Linked DNA regions of Bombyx mori. The protein of the gene in region 3 purifies or fractionates together with the protein of the main gene of each other region. This does not show direct contact. Links are inferred from orthologs where the notes say so. Each region holds a gene or a part of one and is shown on either strand. Other genes may lie near its edges. The genes, in order: tensin-1, paxillin and tyrosine-protein kinase CSK.

What was found.
Region 1: the proteins of tyrosine-protein kinase CSK (region 3) and tensin-1 purify together in Homo sapiens (affinity purification with mass spectrometry; 6 studies listed by BioGRID and IntAct, with this or other methods). This does not show direct contact. The link is inferred for Bombyx mori from reciprocal best matches to the Homo sapiens genes CSK and TNS2.
Region 2: the proteins of tyrosine-protein kinase CSK (region 3) and paxillin purify together in Homo sapiens (affinity purification with mass spectrometry; 4 studies listed by BioGRID and IntAct, with this or other methods). This does not show direct contact. The link is inferred for Bombyx mori from reciprocal best matches to the Homo sapiens genes CSK and PXN.

The regions. Positions count from the first base shown.
Region 1 is NC_085110.1:9,738,550-9,744,909, reverse strand, and holds the start of tensin-1, read right to left. Parts: upstream 3,906-6,360; 5' UTR 3,823-3,905; coding exon 3,688-3,822; intron 1,897-3,687; exon of another isoform or gene 1,658-1,896; coding exon of another isoform or gene 1,580-1,657; intron 95-1,579; exon of another isoform or gene 1-94. UniProt on the Homo sapiens protein: Tyrosine-protein phosphatase which regulates cell motility, proliferation and muscle-response to insulin. Phosphatase activity is mediated by binding to phosphatidylinositol-3,4,5-triphosphate (PtdIns(3,4,5)P3) via the SH2 domain.
Region 2 is NC_085116.1:14,645,414-14,651,298, reverse strand, and holds part of paxillin, read right to left. Parts: exon of another isoform or gene 3,848-5,885; 5' UTR 3,783-3,847; coding exon 3,626-3,782; intron 1-3,625. UniProt on the Homo sapiens protein: Cytoskeletal protein involved in actin-membrane attachment at sites of cell adhesion to the extracellular matrix (focal adhesion). Recruits other proteins such as TRIM15 to focal adhesion.
Region 3 is NC_085127.1:9,182,511-9,188,395, forward strand, and holds part of tyrosine-protein kinase CSK, read left to right. Parts: intron 1-164; exon of another isoform or gene 165-393; coding exon of another isoform or gene 394-485; intron 486-1,224; coding exon 1,225-1,371; intron 1,372-2,842; coding exon 2,843-2,933; intron 2,934-3,588; coding exon 3,589-3,708; intron 3,709-5,885. UniProt on the Homo sapiens protein: Non-receptor tyrosine-protein kinase that plays an important role in the regulation of cell growth, differentiation, migration and immune response.

The DNA.
Region 1 (6,360 bases), on a different chromosome or scaffold from region 3:
GTAGAGAGTCGTGTTTACATCGGCGTTGTGAATGTGCCGGTCACGCGAGCGTCTCTATGCACAGGCGCTTCGCTACTGAAACTGAGCAGAGCCGCGCACCCAGCAGCTGATCTGGGCCCGGCGCCCATCACTAATCTCAGGTCACACGATACTTCAGCACCACCCGGTTACATGTAAGTGTGAATGCATATTTACGATCTCGGTACTGATAGAAGAGACGCTTAGACCATTTATGATAAGAAATTAAATATTAAATCCAATATGTATTATTAAATATAAGCAAAAAAGTAGGCATGTTTATGAAACCGAAACAAATTTATTATGAACGACTACATTTTACGTTACAGTTGATACATATACCTACTAACTCTAAGTATTGTTTTGACGTTTTTTTGTCTAGTCTAGGGTAGTCCAGTGGATGTCCACAGTCTAAAGAAAAATTACGACATAAAAAATAACGACGTGTTGTGCCATATTAAATATTATACAGTCATCAAGGACAAAACTTAAAATTGTAGTTTTTTTTTAAACTGCAAACTACATTTTATGAATTTCATTTTCTTTTAACTCCGACACAATTTTAAATAGGTTCTGCTGCACAAATATGAGGGCAATGGTTTGGACAGCTGGTCTAGTCGATTGGTTGATAGGCCTAACTAACTGTATATAATTTTGGCCTCAATTCCCTTTCATTATTTAATATTAATTAATTAATTCGTTTCAAGTGATCAATTTTTAGGAAAAATCATAGTTCGGGGCTACATAGACATACGTAATTTTTATAAGAACAGAAAACGATGACTTCTGTATGTAATTTTAAAAAGTAGATTTTTTTATTAATAACACTAATATTCATCTGAAAGCTTTTCGGGGGTCACCGCGCTATTTAAAAAATGTCGAGCATCCATTTGAAATAAATGTAACAATCTCACTAAAGCCGTGTTATCGGTGCCATTAAACAAGGACTACGCATTGAACTATTATTGAGAAAGCATCCGAGCTTAAGTGATACATTCATATCATATCACGCGGACGTTATGACCACGAAAATGACATTAACACAGAGAACACTTTGAATCCATTAAAATATACATTGGGAATTATGCGCCTGCCAACCGACCTTTACAAACACTTTGATTGTTTATACATATCTCGAGGGCACACTTACAGTTTAATGTACGATTTATATTAACTTATAATGACGTCGTATATAAGTATATTAAAATGAAAGTGGATTAAGACTAGTTGACATTGACAAACACAAAATACGACACTCTTAAAACGGATTTAAGCATTTAATTATTACTTGTAAAAAACTCGAACACTTTTTAATGTTTAAATGTGTAACACAATTAACAAATTAAATAGGGATGACATACCTATAAAGATATTTTAAAATAATGTACCATTTTTTTATTGCATTTGCTATTGAATATTGTAATGAAACTTAAAATAATTTTTTTCACTACGAATTGATGGTAAACTAACTCCTCATCTTTGCTGATGATCTTTGATACTTCATGATTTTAAAATCACAAGCTTTGTGTATTCATTGCCATATTACAAAAACAAAACATACCCGAGTCAACAAGTGAAGTGGAGAACTGACCACTAGCTGCTCTAGACGATCGCGCGACCACGGACATTTCCAAGGCATTTCAATAATTATTATTAAATTTACTTTAAATTGAAATTTATGAGTGTTAAAGGACTACATTATTTAAAAAAAAAACGATATAGTACTTTAAGCTTTTTTTCATTAAAATCTGTTAACATTTGTTCGCGCGCACGTAGTTCTCAAACAAAGTATAATAATATGTATGTTCGCAATCGGATTACGATACGCAACATCTCACGCATGCGCGCGAACACGGGACCGTTCGACACGGTACTGGCTACTGGCACCCTGTCCTCCAGGAATCGAATCCCAAGTATTCCCGGCTTTTGGGCGCACACCTCCCGCTGTGAACGTGATTCGCAGAATGAAACAGCGAAAAAGTATCATAAAAATATTTGAAATTATACTTTATTTTTAAAAAACATGTACTTTATTAATTTAGTTTCTATGTCATGTTTAATTTAAATGAAGAAAAAAAGGTAATGAAATTTTTGATCTGAACACACTAAGATTTAAGGAGAGTCCCCATCAGCAGGTAGCGGCTTAACTATGCTCCTGGTATAACTATGTCCACGGTGGCTACTTGCTATCAAGTGTACCGTAAAGATTCAGTAAATTTGTGTGAGCTTCGAATCATTTTTGCTATTGAGGTTAGGCAGACTTAGATCCTCTGCTGTGAATCAATTATGTGTGTTTTTACTGTAAATGTGCAGTTGAACTCACGGCCTACTTAGTGTTAAGTTGTAATCAGACCCCACAAATATCTCAACGTGAATGTCGGCAACTTTTTTTAGACAAGACTTTTTCCGATAAGTCTTACCACAAATTCACGGATCACCTCTACATCCACGATACAGGAATAACACCGTTGTAATAAATATCAAACCCAAAAAAATATATTCTGAATTATTTCTGGAGGTCAGCCGTCGTGTGAGCTCTCGCGAATAAGTGTGACCAACACCCTGCCTATTAATACCGCGAAGCAGCAGTGCGTTCCCGTTTGATCATGAGACAGCCGCGATACTATGCATTTTAGACTTACACCTCATATCACCTCATGGGTTTCGGCATTCACGTAGTGATGGGCCTGATATCGTTCACCTGTCTTCACGATAAATAAAATAAAAACATACGTTCGTCAGCCTATCTACCCCCCCCCTAAAAGTTGGATAATGTTTACATGTTCTCTAATAAATTCTAAAACAGAACAAAAATGTTTCTTTGCCAAACATTTATTGATGTTATTCCAGTTGACCTCTTCGATTAAATGCCGACAAACTGCTAATTGGGCTATATTAGCAAACGTGATGTAGGCATCTCTCTAAATCAGGAAATGAGGTCAAAATGAGGTAATCATTATTGTTTAATAGATCAACGCTATATTACAAAATGTGTAAATATCGCAAGGCTATCATTAGGATTTTCACGTTTCACCTGCATATGGGGATCTCAAATGGAGTAAGCAACTTAGTTCTTTTTAATATTCTATTACGCGAAATGTGGTGTTGGCGTTTCGCCCTCTCCAATGGAATGATGTGATACGAATGTCAGCGAAGACCGCGATGGGGGGTTGTTTTACTACCTAGTTAGTGCTCTATTTCGTTAGGTACTTATGAATTGGGCTGCATTTAGTTTTGTGTGTCAAAAACCATACACGACACACTGGACGAATAGGGTTTTAGTTTTCTTCCTATAAAATATTTTTTGTCATAATTTATCTTTTGATTCAAATAGGTTGAAAATAAATCAATAATAAAAATATAAACTTTAAATGAAATTAAGTACTCACCCAGTATCTTGGAACGAGAACTTAGGCGGAAAAATAAAACGAACATATTGTTATAAAATATCCATATCAGAATGCTTGTTTTGTACGACCTCTTATTGTTAGTATAATTTAGAAAATTGTACATTTTAATAATTATTATTTAGTACAAAAAATAATTATGATGGGTATCTTCACTACCGGAAAGAAATCAGGCATAAAATCCGTTTTTTTTGACCGATATCTAAGAATTGATTGAGAATTTCGTACGTGAATTAAGAGTTAACCCATTAAATTAACTTACCGGCAATGTTTCTAACACGAGCTCTTTAGTTTTCCAGCACAGCCATGATGGAAGCTTCATAATCACTATTACGCTAATTACAACTGAAACGGTTACAAGGACAATTATCAAATTGTATTCTTCTAATTGGTACATAATAAGTTATTCGAATCATAGAAGAATGAATTTATAAGGCCATAAGGTATGTAACCGTATGAGTCTCTATGCTATCCCATCATGTACTGCACGCCTGTTCGGGCCACGCCGCTAGCAGCATATTAGTGAGAAGTTGTTAACATAAATTAGGTCTAATTAACTACTTCCAACTACAAAATTTTCGATCGCCTAGATTAAAGTACTTCGGAACGTTCAAAAAAACAACAACATAGGTATTAGGTATACGAGTATAATTGCTTTAGATACTTAGCATAGCGTGCCTTATTTATAGTTGCTTCGTTAAGTACCTTAATTTGGAATTACGCTTCTTCTATCTTTTCCCTAACTGGAGATCGATAAGACCTGAAAGGCTAGTTTTAGAGTAGGTAATGTGCCATAGGGGTCGGCGAAGACAAAAGTATTAGGCATATAATTATTGCTGTAGATACTTTGCGTAGCGTACTTAATTTATAGTTGCTTCGTTAAGTAGGTACCTTAATTTGAAATTAAGCTTCTGCTATCTTTTCTCTGAATGGAGATCGATAAGACCTAAAAGGCTAGTTTCAGAGTAATGTGCCATTAGGGTCGGCGATGACAAAGTACATCCTGGGAAAATGGGTTGCGCTCGCACTCGCGCTAATTCACTTAACGTCGAGTCGAAGATAAAAGTGGCGCTATAGATATGGATAACCCATGTTGGCATACCGGTTGTATTGACCTGCTTATCTAACTCATACGTTGCTTTCGTTTATTTAGTTGAAAATTCGTGAAAGTAGCGCTCAATAGTCCTGGCCAGGCTTGAATCATAACACTGGTAAGTGAGCACTAAATGGGGATGCGATTGCCGTGGCCTTCTCCAAAATGTTACAAAGTAAAAAGATACGAAGCGCTTTTAGGCAGTTCATTCAGAAGAGGCTCCATAGTTCTCTAAAATTAATACCAAGTTCCATTTCCAGCTGTGAAACGATGCATCCATAACGGTTCTTTCTTACCTGGAGCCTGGTAGGACGTAATTCAATAGAAGATGGCCGGCAAAGGATTATCTTTATTAATTGAATTTTTATATTTAATCATGTATATTTCAAAACCCGAATTTTCGGTTAATAATAATTATTAAAGACACTTACCAAACCATTCCGGTAACCGAGATAAGTTCTAATATTCAGTCTAACGAAACGACATACATTTTTTTTAGTTTTAGCTTCATAAGACAATATTTAAAAATAGTGCTCAAATAAATAAAAAAATATAATTTGGAACGGTATTCGATTACAATTAGTCAATAAAATACTGTTTATTTAGATATTAATATATTTTCGAATCTAAAATGTACAAAAAATACAACTTAAATTTAATGTACTCGTAACGACTGCTTTTTTTATGAATAAAAACATTACGATTCGAATATATTGGAAATTTTGGTACCAAACGGCACACACTTCATGGCTTGAATAATTGACAATAAATACCAAGTACATGAACCGGAGTAAGCTACTAGGAACATAAGGAGAATAAGCCATCGAAAAAACTCCTTAAAACAAAAGTTTGCCAACATTTCGTCAAATCATTTTTTAATCCAAATTAGAAAGTCGATTTTTCAAATTTCGTATATTTCGAAAAAAAAAAAATATAACCTATGGTACAGCTGTACAGATTTTTGTATAATCTAAAATAAACATAACGATCTAATTTAAAATTATTGTTTAATCAACCATCACTTTTATAACAACTTTGGTTGTGTATGCTAATCGTAAAAATATAGGTATTTTAGATATTTACAATTTATATAAACACATACGTACATAGGTAAAATGCACAGCAACACAAAAATGGCCTTAACTATTAGAAGAACTAAATAACACAGACTTAACGTCGCTCACTTAAATGATTTGTTTGGAGAAGAGGACTAGTCTTTGTTTTCATCACAGTTAGCAAACAAATTGTCTCGATATCTCTACGTACGTGAAAAAGAACGCTTCCCAAAAAATCTTTTAAGTAAATGACAGACGTTTAAATCACTTTGCAGTGTTTTAAGGAAAACATAAATAGCATATAGGTATAATAATAATATAACAAAAGTATCAACCTATTTTAATATTCACAATACAAAAATACCCTTTTCTCAGACGACAGGCCAAGACAAAAGACACGATTTTATACAAACAAATAAAATCGATTTCGTACGGGAGTGTCTTTAATGTGTTAGCGACTGTCATCCTTTCTAATAAATATTTTTATCACACATAACTTATCCTATAATGAGGAATTTCTTTATTATTATTGACAAACAGCACAAAACGGATTATAAAACTACATGAAATAATATTAAACATTATTAATTGTAACTAATTATATTTTCCCACAGAAACAGAGATTCCCGTACGGATCCATGTTTCTTGACACCGAATGCAAAGTGATCGGCTGTTCTACGCCACAGAGTCAATTCGTGAACTATAAAAATATTTCTATTATACATCAACAGTATCACAATTGTCAATGCAGTCCAATTGTAATCTTCCTGCAACGTTGGATGGAATT
Region 2 (5,885 bases), on a different chromosome or scaffold from region 3:
ATTTACAATTGTTCCAAAATAATTGCATCGTTTGTGTGAAATTGTTAGGATAAGTTGCGATTATTTGCATTCGTATTTTCTACTACTTTTTAGTAGTCGATTAATAGGTTACAATTAACGATTAATATCTTACATTACAATTAAAAGCATTTTATTTTTATTTTAATATCATAAATTTAGTACGCTTGGACATTTAACAGCACTCTCCATACCCGATCCTGTGGACCGAATGGTAATCAGTCGACGTCGCCCTAAGCACGTTATTACGGATCCTCCCGATCCATTAACTGTACTTTTAGGTACCTCAAGCACCGGTCACCGTTAACACCGAACTCGTCGCTTACGACGAAGGACTCGACGAGTAAATTAACCCACAGACACAGCCCACTGAGTTTCTCGCAGGATCTTCTCAGTGGGTCGCGTTTCCGATGCGGTGGTAGATTCTGCGAAGCACTGCTTTTGCTAGGGCCAGTGTTAGCAACACTTCCGGTTTGAGCTCACCTACTCGCCCGGTTACGTTGACATAGCCTCTCAAGGCTATCAGCTTAGGTAGGAAAAAAAGCCCTCTAATATTAGGTCTTGGTTTTTTTGCCTACCTATCTTCCAGTAGCCTCGAGTGCCTATTCTGGCTTTACCGTGAGTGGTGGGCGAGCTCCCGGGGCTCAACCTGAATGAATTTGCTAAACCCGCCCTAGCAAGACGAATTCTTCGCTGAATCCACTACCGGACCGGACACGCGACCCACTGAGAAGGTCCATCGAGAAACTCAATGGATTGTGTCTATTGGCGGTCAGAGTATATAGATCGTTCCGCTGTATCGCCAAGGACTCTTTCCGAACTAATGCTAATACCTGAAGACATGAGTGAATGAAGGGGGATATAATAAAATTTGTAATTTTTAAGAAAACGGACAGCAATCTTTTGTCACTTGTACTTTTTCTTCGTACATAACTCTTTTATCACATGAAATATCTAAAAATAGCCTTTAAACCTAGAGTTTTAAGGTCTAATATGGTTAATAAGCACATAACACCTTCATTAAATGACAAAACTTAAAAATCTTAAAAATGGTACTTAACCCCTTCATCCACTTCAACTAACTGCCTTTGAAGCACTGTTAGTTAGTGTCTCGAAAATACAAAAACGCCTTACGGTTTTATTAAAGCAATATTTTACTAAGAGATTCAATAAGAGTATCACGGCGCGGTTTCTGACTGTGGACAACTCATAGGCATTAGAGAAGAGCCAAAGAGGCAAGAGAATAACCAAATCTATGTCTACTGTTAACTTTTTTTGCCTATCTAATCGTTTGTAGCCTAATAGGCTATTTCAACTATGCACGGACCGCAGCTGAGCTACCGGCTCGACCTGAGCGAATTCCTAACTCGGGCCCTAGCAAGGGCAGTGTTTCGCGGAATCTACCACCGAATCGGAATCGTGACCCACTAAGAAGATCCGGCGAAAAACTCAGTGGTTTACGGTTCACGGTTAACGACCTTTTACGCGCTAATTTAACGATAAAATAATATAATAACATGGTGTAACAAAAATCAGACACGTCTAGTCATGTCTATTTCTGCAGTAATTCAAACTTGAAGGGTATGGAGGTTGTTACAAAATATTATTACTTTAAGCTTGCGACTTAAAATTATTGGTTGCATTCGGGCTATAATGTTTATGGCTCTACCTTAAAATCAAATGGACCGTGAGCTGGTTCACCCGTCTAAGCAATACATAAAAGACCTTTAAAACAACTAAGATAATCTAGTTGAAATATTCCATAAATCCAGACAAATAAAAACCTAAAATGCATTATGTACACTATCTATACTAATATTATAAATAGGAAAGATTTGTTTGTTTGTTTGTTTGTTTCGAATAGGCTCTGAAACTACTGGACCGATTTGAAAAATTATTTTTCCATTAGAAGCCGACATTGTCCCTGATGAACATAGGCTACTTTTTTTAAAAAAAAAAATATTTTATTTTTTTCGTTTCATGTGTGTTTTAATGTTTCCGAAGCGAAGCGAGGGCGGGTCGCTAGTAATATTATAATTATATTAGGATTGTAAACAAAATAAGGCCGTAACCGATACGAGCAATAGTAAACTATGGTCTAAGTATTGATAACAATTTGCGGTAGTGTCGCCGACGCCCGACGCCGCAAGGTTACCTGTCCACGTTTGACACTTCGCCTTGATCAACCGATACGGGCAGGTTTGCGCGTTCTCTTCGATACGAAAACTTACGAGAACTCAATCACAGAATATAAAAGCATAAAGGATCTAGTTTTTATTTTTATTTCCCTCGACGGAAAGACGTGACGTTTTATTAATACGCTTTTATTAGCTTCAGACGTAATATGTATGTTAGTATATAACGGAATCTTTGAACATGATTTTGACATCCCGATTTAACTCGAAATTTGGTATAATTATTAAGGATCGATGACAATTCAATATTAAAAAAAAATTGAAAAAAATAATAATTGAAAAAATTATAATTCAACTAAAAAGTCATAATAATAATAGTTTAAAAAACTAACAAAACACGCTTTTATAGAAAATCCAAATAAAAAATAGAAAATAAATTTAGCATGGTATCAGTAGTAATAAATATTTTAAAAACAGATATGAGTAGAAGGGTTATTTTGATAATATCCTGAAAAGCACCCCACGCTTTTTTACAATAAAATCATTTTTTCTTACTTACATTATTTTTAATTCGAATTTATTAAAATTTATTTTCTTTTTTTTTAGTTGGATTTTCTATAAAAGCGTATTCTGTTAGTTTTTTAAAATTATTATTTATTTTATTTCTCTCGCTCACAGACACGTGGTCTTAGATTGTTACAGGACTACGGACTTAGACGTAAATTACATCATCAACGTTGAGATATGAAGTAGCAGTTATATTGTATCTTATAACGGTTGTGTGGATTCCGATAGCACTACCCCTTTCCCCAATGCTGTTAAAAAAGGCGACTAAAGGATTATATTCGATGAAGAACCGACCGCATGTTCTGTGTATCGCCAACCATCATTCACTTGTAGGATATATTATAACCCAGCACGGATAAGTAGTGCCATCCTGCATATATCTGATAAATAAGAGTTTTCCACCAATGCAACTGAAATTTTTGTTTCAATAAGATCAGTGTGATTAGTGCGAGTTTTTTAACGTTCTCGATAGCGTAAAAGTTAACTCAAATTTGTATGGAGTTGGAATGTTTGACGCTAGGGGCGCTGTTCCAATATATCGCTATCGAAAACGTTAAGAAACTCCCACTGAGCACACTGATAGTTGCCATACCCGAGCTGGGCCATTTAATGTCTATGTTAATAAACTATGAGAGATCAGATTTAATAATTTGTGTTAACCAAGAGGTCAACGTTACGTTAGCTCGATAAGGTAAGGAAAAAAAAATTAATATTTACATAGACAACTATTATAATGTACTCATGATCTTAAGTGAATACATTTTTGCACATCGACTAATTACGCAACATTTCTTTACCACCGACAGCTTCATTAACAAGCATCCGATATAGAACAAGGCCGCACAACTGAAGCACTCTCTGACTCATAACTTCGTTCGTTTCCAGCACCGACCCGATCTACTCACCTAGATATGCACTGAAATCCGCGAAGTATCTCCTCCAATCCGACGATCTCAGCTCGGGGGGAGTCGAAGGTCCTCTCTCCACGCTGTACTTCCGTTCGAGTACAGGAGAGAAAGAGACCGATTTGGGGGATGCAGAGCGCGTGCGCACCGTAGCCATCCCTCTTGTTTAGTATATAAAGCGTTACGTGTTAAAATTGACGGGCAGTCGTGGTCGGACCGCGGCTACAAGAAGACTAGTTATTTTTGGTGTAATACAGGGTTATCTGAACGAGCGATGACCGTTGATAGCGGTGTCACACTGCGAGCCAGACGTATGAGTTACGCGACGTTCTATTCCCGTCAGGTGGTCATTTCCGAAATAATATTTCATAACCGATCACGGACTGACTTCATTAACCCATTTATTTACGATAGAAGGTGAGAAGATGGACGTGGGCCGCGCAGGGCTCGCGCGTCCGACTTACATAAGAGACAAGTGTGTCTGCGTTGCGTGGGCGGGCGGCGCCCTGCAATAGTCAATCGCGGAACTCACGTGGTCGCCGAGAGTAAACAGAATTAACCCGAATCGCGATTTTATGGCGGAGTAACAACAAATTCGTATTAGCGGCCGATGCAGAAACTGGGTTACTAAGGACAAAACTTAAATTAAGAGTTATCGGTTTTTTATAGAGGTTCTACCCTTTTTTTGTGTATTTTGTACATTTTCATGATTCTATTTACTAATTAGTATCAAAAACAGCGGTTTTGGTTACCGTGGATTTCTTAATAATCATATCAAAACAATAAGACGATAGAAATACTAAGAATTTCTAATTTCTTGAATAAGAAGCCCAATGTACTGAGTGATGTGACCATCTCGAATTTCGAATGCCACATACCAATTTTTTGAAGAAAAAACCAAATTACCAGCCTTTGTTCACATTTTCATGATGTAGGAATAAAAATCCCACAAAACATAAGCCCTTCCGTAATTACTCATGTTGGTGGCGTATATAAAAGTCTGCCGGGGTAAGAATAATTATCCTGTTTACTTTAACAATGAAACAATTGTGTGCTCCTGTCTGAAGAGAACGACAGCCATTATAAAATACAATTGAGGCTACGACCTCATGTCTCATGAGAGACAATAATATAACGATGACTATAACGCTGGTAAATTCTACCACAATCTACCATCATCTAGGGCAAGATACATTTAAAAAATAAATCCCGAAATTAGTTCAAACACGCAACATAACCAATGAAGTGTGTTCCGTGGTTAATGATGTGTCTAATGATTTTATTACTCCTAGACGCAGTCGATGTCAATAGTCGTAAATTTTACAGATCAACGCTGTCTTTGTCTTGTGACCTATTAATGATCAGACAAGACTTAAAATCGCGTACAGAGATACTTTAAATTACATTACATATACCTATATATTAAACATGTATTTGTGTACTTTAACAAAATTGGTTAATTATTTATTAAAAAAATAAATTGACGATTGATTTTTTTTTATTGCTTAGATGGGTGGACGAGCTCACAGCCCACCTGGTGTTAAGTGGTTACTGGAGCCCATAGACATCTACAACGTAAATGCGCCACCCACCTTGAGATATAAGTTCTAAGGTCTCAGTATAGTGACAACGGCTACACCACCCTTCAAACCGAAACGCATTACTGCTTCACGGCAGAAATAGGCAGGGCGGTTGAGCAAGCAGGGAATTTTTTTGCCAGTCCGCCTATTTCTAACGCGAATCATTCAGCGGTTTGCGATCTGAAATACAATATCAGAATACTATTGATATTTTATTCGCATTTAAAAATTGTTCATTAAATAATCATAGTTATTAATATAAAATTTTCGCAAGACATCTTCTTGCATTTATCACTATCTTCATAGTATCTCGTGAAACGAAGGAATATTGTGAATTTTTAATACAAATTAAGACTGCACCTACTGAATATGTATTTACAAATAAGTAAAGAAATAACAGTTAACTACCGTTTTCACCTGTGTTTCTCAACAAATTTTCTATTTCTCTATTAGTAGCCACTGACAAGCTTTTGGTGTTATCGATTAAAACATTGGAAATTGATTAATTTTTTTTATCTCTACAATGAAACAATTTTACCAATAAAACAAAAGAGAAAAAGTAATGCATAAAAATAATAAAAATCTAGAGGTGTGAGCGATAACGATTTGGATTACCCGACGAACAATAATTAAAGTAAATTTGCTATTCCACTACCGATCCCACACTTGGAATTCAGACC
Region 3 (5,885 bases):
TGAATTCATGTTCAAGTAGTTATATATATTGCTGCCTTGCTTCGGGATCGACGCTCCCATACTCTTTATATTATGCAAGATTTAAAAAGATAATTCAATTAATCACGGAGTTCTTCTAGATTTACAAAAACAAATATTAGAGTAAAAAGAAAACAAAACACTACCGTTAACATTCAATTATCATCTGTCGACTTGATAATGCTATCACGATAACGTTTTTGTTATTAAATGAATTTAAATAAATTTTAAAATTATGTGAATAGAAACCGTAATGCTGTCGGCGAAGGTCGATTTTACAACTAACTCCCTTTGCAACTAATTGATAAGGATCTAACGTCACGTAAACTATCTCGTTGATAACGTTTCATTATATACGTTGGAAGCGAACGAAGCATGGAGAGCGACATTACGGAGTGTTATTATAAACCACACAAAATAAAACTGTGCATACCACCGGTTATCAACTATGAACCAACGGAAAATGAGTAAATTGTTTTGATGTTTTTTTTTTTGAATTGGCTACATACATTTCTAATATTTTCATTGATTCATTAATTTATTTATTAATTCAATAGTTGTCAGTTTTGTACTTGGATGTAAATTCCCAGATGTAAATATAGTTTTGTATATAATATATTGCCTTCACTTTTTGGTAAATGTATACTCTTACCTTCATGCTTTAAGAAAAGTTGGAATACAAATAAATTAATAATGTTGTTGCAGTAAAAAAATATTTATTTAAATAAACATAATACAAAAGGATTTAATAACGAAAATTATTTTAATTAAAAAATGTAAATGACAAACAAAATATACTTTTCTTTGCATGTTATATAATATGTGATAGGTTAGGTTAGTTTGTAGTACATTACAACTTTTTATTACCCTTGTAGGCAGACGAGCATACGGCCCACCTGATGATGAGTGGTTACCGTCGCCCATGGACTTCAGCAATGCCAGGGGCAGAGCCAAGCCGCGGCCTACCGCTAACCTAGCGGTGCTAGGTGCAAGTGCTCTCTAGCATTTGCGATTTCGTATTTTGTATGCCATGCTCACATTTACCAAAACGACATGGTCATTGTGAATTCAATGTACATTTTCCTTCTTTGAAATTGTAAATAAATGCACATTTCCCAAACGAAGAGGAAAATGTGTACATTTGCCGCAATATCTACTTTGACCGTAACATATATAAAGTTTGAAATGAAGATGTTTTCGTTGTAGATGGCATCACGGCGCGATATCGAGGGAGCGAGCGGAGGCGTTGCTCTCCGGCTCTCCGGACGGGGTTTTCTTGGTGCGAGAGAGCACTAACTTCCCAGGAGACCACACGCTGTGCGTCCGATTCCGAGGAAGGGTGGAACACTATAGGTTAGAACTGTGATTCAAAATGAGGCGAGGACTTTTTGGCGGGAATGCGAGGAGTGAAGTTGTGTGATTTGTTTTATTTTGTCTATGTAGTGTTTCTTCAGGTTTAAATGTGTAATAACGGTGGTTTATTAACTGTTTAATATCTGTAAAAGTGCAGAAATGTGGGAAAATGAAACAACGCCGCTGAACGTAACATCTCGGGATCATCCAAAAAGCACTAAAAAAATCTGACCCCCATTTTACGGAGATTATATTTCATTTAATTCCATCCCAGTTTATTCATGTCTCAAATTAATCATCTTCATTTCACTGCATATTATCATTTTTCATAAAAATAAAATTAAAAATTAAAATAAGACTTGACCTAAAGGTCTTAGTTGCCAGGTCATAAAATTCCTTTAAAAAATGGGGCGTTGGGGGTAGCCGTGTTTCGGACAGTTTGAAATTAAATAATAAATAAAGTATGTGAGTAAAATATGAATTGTGTGGATATTTGTGGACAAGTTTCGATTAACATTTCATCGTACGTGCTTAATCTTAAATTGCTTACCTCGACTAGGCTCTTAGCTACACTCCTTGTGTAGTGGAATAAATAGGGCCGTTTATAGATTCATTGTAGAAATAAATTTGTATTTTCCTGTCGTGGATGAGCGTGGGTTAACTCATCGCTTGTCTGATGTTAATTGGTAACAGGAACTGGTACAATGAAATGAATACCGCGGGCAACTTTGGAACTGAAGTCGAAGTTTCAAGTGTGTTGATTTTTTTATTGGTGTAGACGGGTAGCGTAGTTTATAGGCCGCCTAGTGCAAGGGCGCTACCGGAGTCCATTGGCATCACACGATCATAACATCAATCCCACCCATCTCCAGTCACACGCTGGAAGTCTTGTTGTATTGTTTAATGGATCTTTCATCTATCCAACCGGAACACATTTTTTTTTATTGCTTAGATGGATGGATGAGCTCTCAGCCCACCTGGTGTTAAGTGGTTACTGGAGCCCATGGACATCTACAACGTAAATGCGCCACCCACCTTGAGATATAAGTTCTAAGATCTCACTATAGTTACAACGGCTACCCCACCCTTCGAACTGATACGCATTACTGCTCCACGGCGGAAATAGGCGGGGTGGTGGTCCCAGAGGTCCTACCACCAGTGATTACGCAAATTATAATTTTGCGGGTTTGATTTTTATTACACGATGTTATTCCTTCACCGTGAAAGTCAATCGTGAACATTTGTTGAGTACGTATTTCATTAGAAAAATTGGTACCCGCCTGCGGGATTCGAACACCGGAGCTTCGCTACATACGAATGCACCGGACGTCTTATACTTTAGGCTACAACGACTTCAAAACAGCTTCACGGCAAAGATAAGCAGGACGGTGATAATAATCCGCGCGGGCCGGTAGAACCAATTTACTTTTAATACGTTGTAACATATTATATGTTGTTTTTCATGTTTCAGAGTAAAATGGGCGACAGCGCCCGACAACCAAAACCAACGTCTGACCATAGACGATGAAGAATTCTTCGATAACATGACGGACTTAATTCATGTGAGTGTTATTTATAAAAACATTATTTGTTGTGTTTTCAATTAATCAGATATGTCCAAACATACTTGTTCATCGATATGTATAGATACAATTTTTTCTTGATCCTTGACGATTGAAAACCGCGAGATCGAAATTTCTAGTGAATATTTTTAGAGGATCGTAAGTGACTTGTCCAGTAGTAGAAATACGACCGTAATAGCTGATACCTTAAGATTCATTTTGTATCGAAAAAATTTGTTCTTAACGTCGTCACAATCCCGTTGAAGGTATTGAAGTTGGCCGACTTTATTGTTTTGTATTTTTTGTTATTGCTTTGATGTGTGGACGAGTTCACAGTCCACGTGGTGTTAACATCTACATTCGTTTCGTTTCGAGGGTACTGTTAAAACAGAAGCTAGAACACAAATCTCGCGTGAGTGGCAGCATTTACGTTGTAGATGTCTATGGGCTCCAGTAACCACTTAACACCAGATGGGCTGTGAGCTCGTCCACACATCAAAGCAATAAAATAAATATATAATAAAAATAAAGGTTCAGTACTTATAACATCCGTAAAAACCGCTATAGACTTATATATTAGTGTATACATTTGACCGTGGCTAGTTGTATCGAGTCGTTATGACCGGTACTGATGTATAATGTACGTTGTCGGCAGCACTACCTGCAGGACGCGGACGGGCTGTGCACGAAGCTGGTGCGGTGCCTCCCCAAGGCGACGGCGAACGGCACCAACAACAACGGCGCCCCGCAGCAGCAGTACCCGCCCCACCCGCAGGTACAAGCCACTCGCACGCCTACTTTTTTTTTTATTTCAACGCTAGGGAATCCGTTTTTTTACGGATGCCCGGTCGTGAGGGACTCGCCTGCCTACCTACTGTACGGTTTATAAGTACTAGTGGTCCGGCAGTAGTCGAAATTCGACTATAATTAATTGAAACTCCAAACTTGTACACTCTGACAAAATGTTCAACAAATTTGTTAGAATTAATATAGTTGAATTATAATTCCGTAGAATAACATTTTTCGTTGCAAGCATAGAATATTAAACTACAATCGACTATTGTTTTTTTTTTTTTTTACATAACAAGACATGTAATGAAAAGTATGGTCTTTGAATGGCCTGAAAAGGGCATGGATGATGAATTGAATTAATTTAAATAATTAGTTGATTTGTCTGCTTAGTTACATGCTAGTGACTGGCCACAGGATCCGGGCTCGAGTCTCGGAAAAGCTATTCGGTGTCACGCTCTACTTATTGTTATCTCGCATGCCTCTTGTTTGCACTCGTAACCAGAATAGGGTCTAGAATTTAGACATAACTGAATATTAAACTTAATAATGCGGCGCTATCTTACTTTTCAAGTAATTTTAATTAATCTCTTAAGGTGTCAATAATACAATATGCATATTAACTTCGTTTCTGAGTCAGATAACAACCTGCGTTCTCACATCGCAATTACAAGTACACGTTTGTACGACGCTACACAATGGTCTATTGCTTGACAATAAGACATTAAATTCTATAAAATGTTATGTTTTCGTGTTCAATTGTAATTAAGTAATCACGTGGCGACAACACCTGAGGATGAATCACTGCGATTGCTTTCCATAAAAACGTTTTTGTTTGCCACACTACAATAACAGTTTATTTTTATTTTTTTGTTTTTAAATTTTGTATTAATACCAAACGTTTTTCATTGTTGTTTTGTGTTAAAGAATATAAATTACATTCATAATTTAATACCCTGTGAACGTTTGAAATTGTTTTTGATTGTCGTCCATCCATATAATTATTTTGTAAAGACGGTTGTACTATTGTTTGATAGATAACTTGTTTCTCAAAGATGATAAATATTACCGCTACTCATGAATGCTACGTGTACGAATGCCGACGTTTAACATTGCCATATCAATGATAGAGCACGACCATGGTGCTAATGTCTCAGATAGAGTAGAAATGTCATTTTTTATTCGTTATAATCGTTGTGCAATGCTTACGATGAAATTCCGGACATTAGTTCCAAATTATGTTTCGAATCCCGACTTGGTCTGGAAGACAACGCTAGGTGCAATCAAACCACCTATTGTGACACTCGTCAGCACAATGTATTGTTATACTATGATCGATACATAAGCGAGATAACATAAAGAGTAGCTCCATCCGTTCATGGATGAAGGTCACGTCAAGCAATCACCTTATACTTTTTATGACATACTAGCTTTTGCCCGCGACTTCGTTCACGTGGAATAGTTACTTTGGCGTATATATATAGCGTAAGCTCTCAAAAGGGAATTTTTTTGAAACATTCTTTATTGGTGCTTCACTTAGTCCTATTGGTCTTAGCGTGATGTTATATAGCCTATGGCCTTCCTCAATAAATGAGCTATCTGACACTGAAAGAGTTTTTCAAATCGGACCCTAGTTCCTGAGATTAACTCTTCAGCTTTATAATATTAGTATAGATTATATTCATTTTACATACTTGACCTTCAAGGCTACTACTATTAACTGGATTTATAGTAGTGCCATAAAATAACTTTTCAAACTATGAAATCTTATTTATATTATGAACGTTTGGGCTCTAATATATTAATTACATGTACAATTAAGACGTGAATACTATCGTATGTATGTGTTGATTAAGGGTCGCCGACACACGTGCCACCGGCCACAACCACAAAACGCACCCACCGACCTATTTCCTGTTGTCTTCATACATTTTGTATGGACTCGCCACACGCCACAAATCGCCACTGCTCGCCTCTAGTTGTCGGCTCGGCCACAAAACGCGCGATTCCCCACCCCTCTCTCTCTTCATTTCTTCGTCGCAGTCCATTATGATACTGCAAGCACGCGTTAAAAAAAGTCCGGTCATCGTCCCCGCCGAACCCGTCGCTTGCGACGAAGGGCTCGACGAGTAAATTAACCCATAGACACAGCCCACTGAGTTT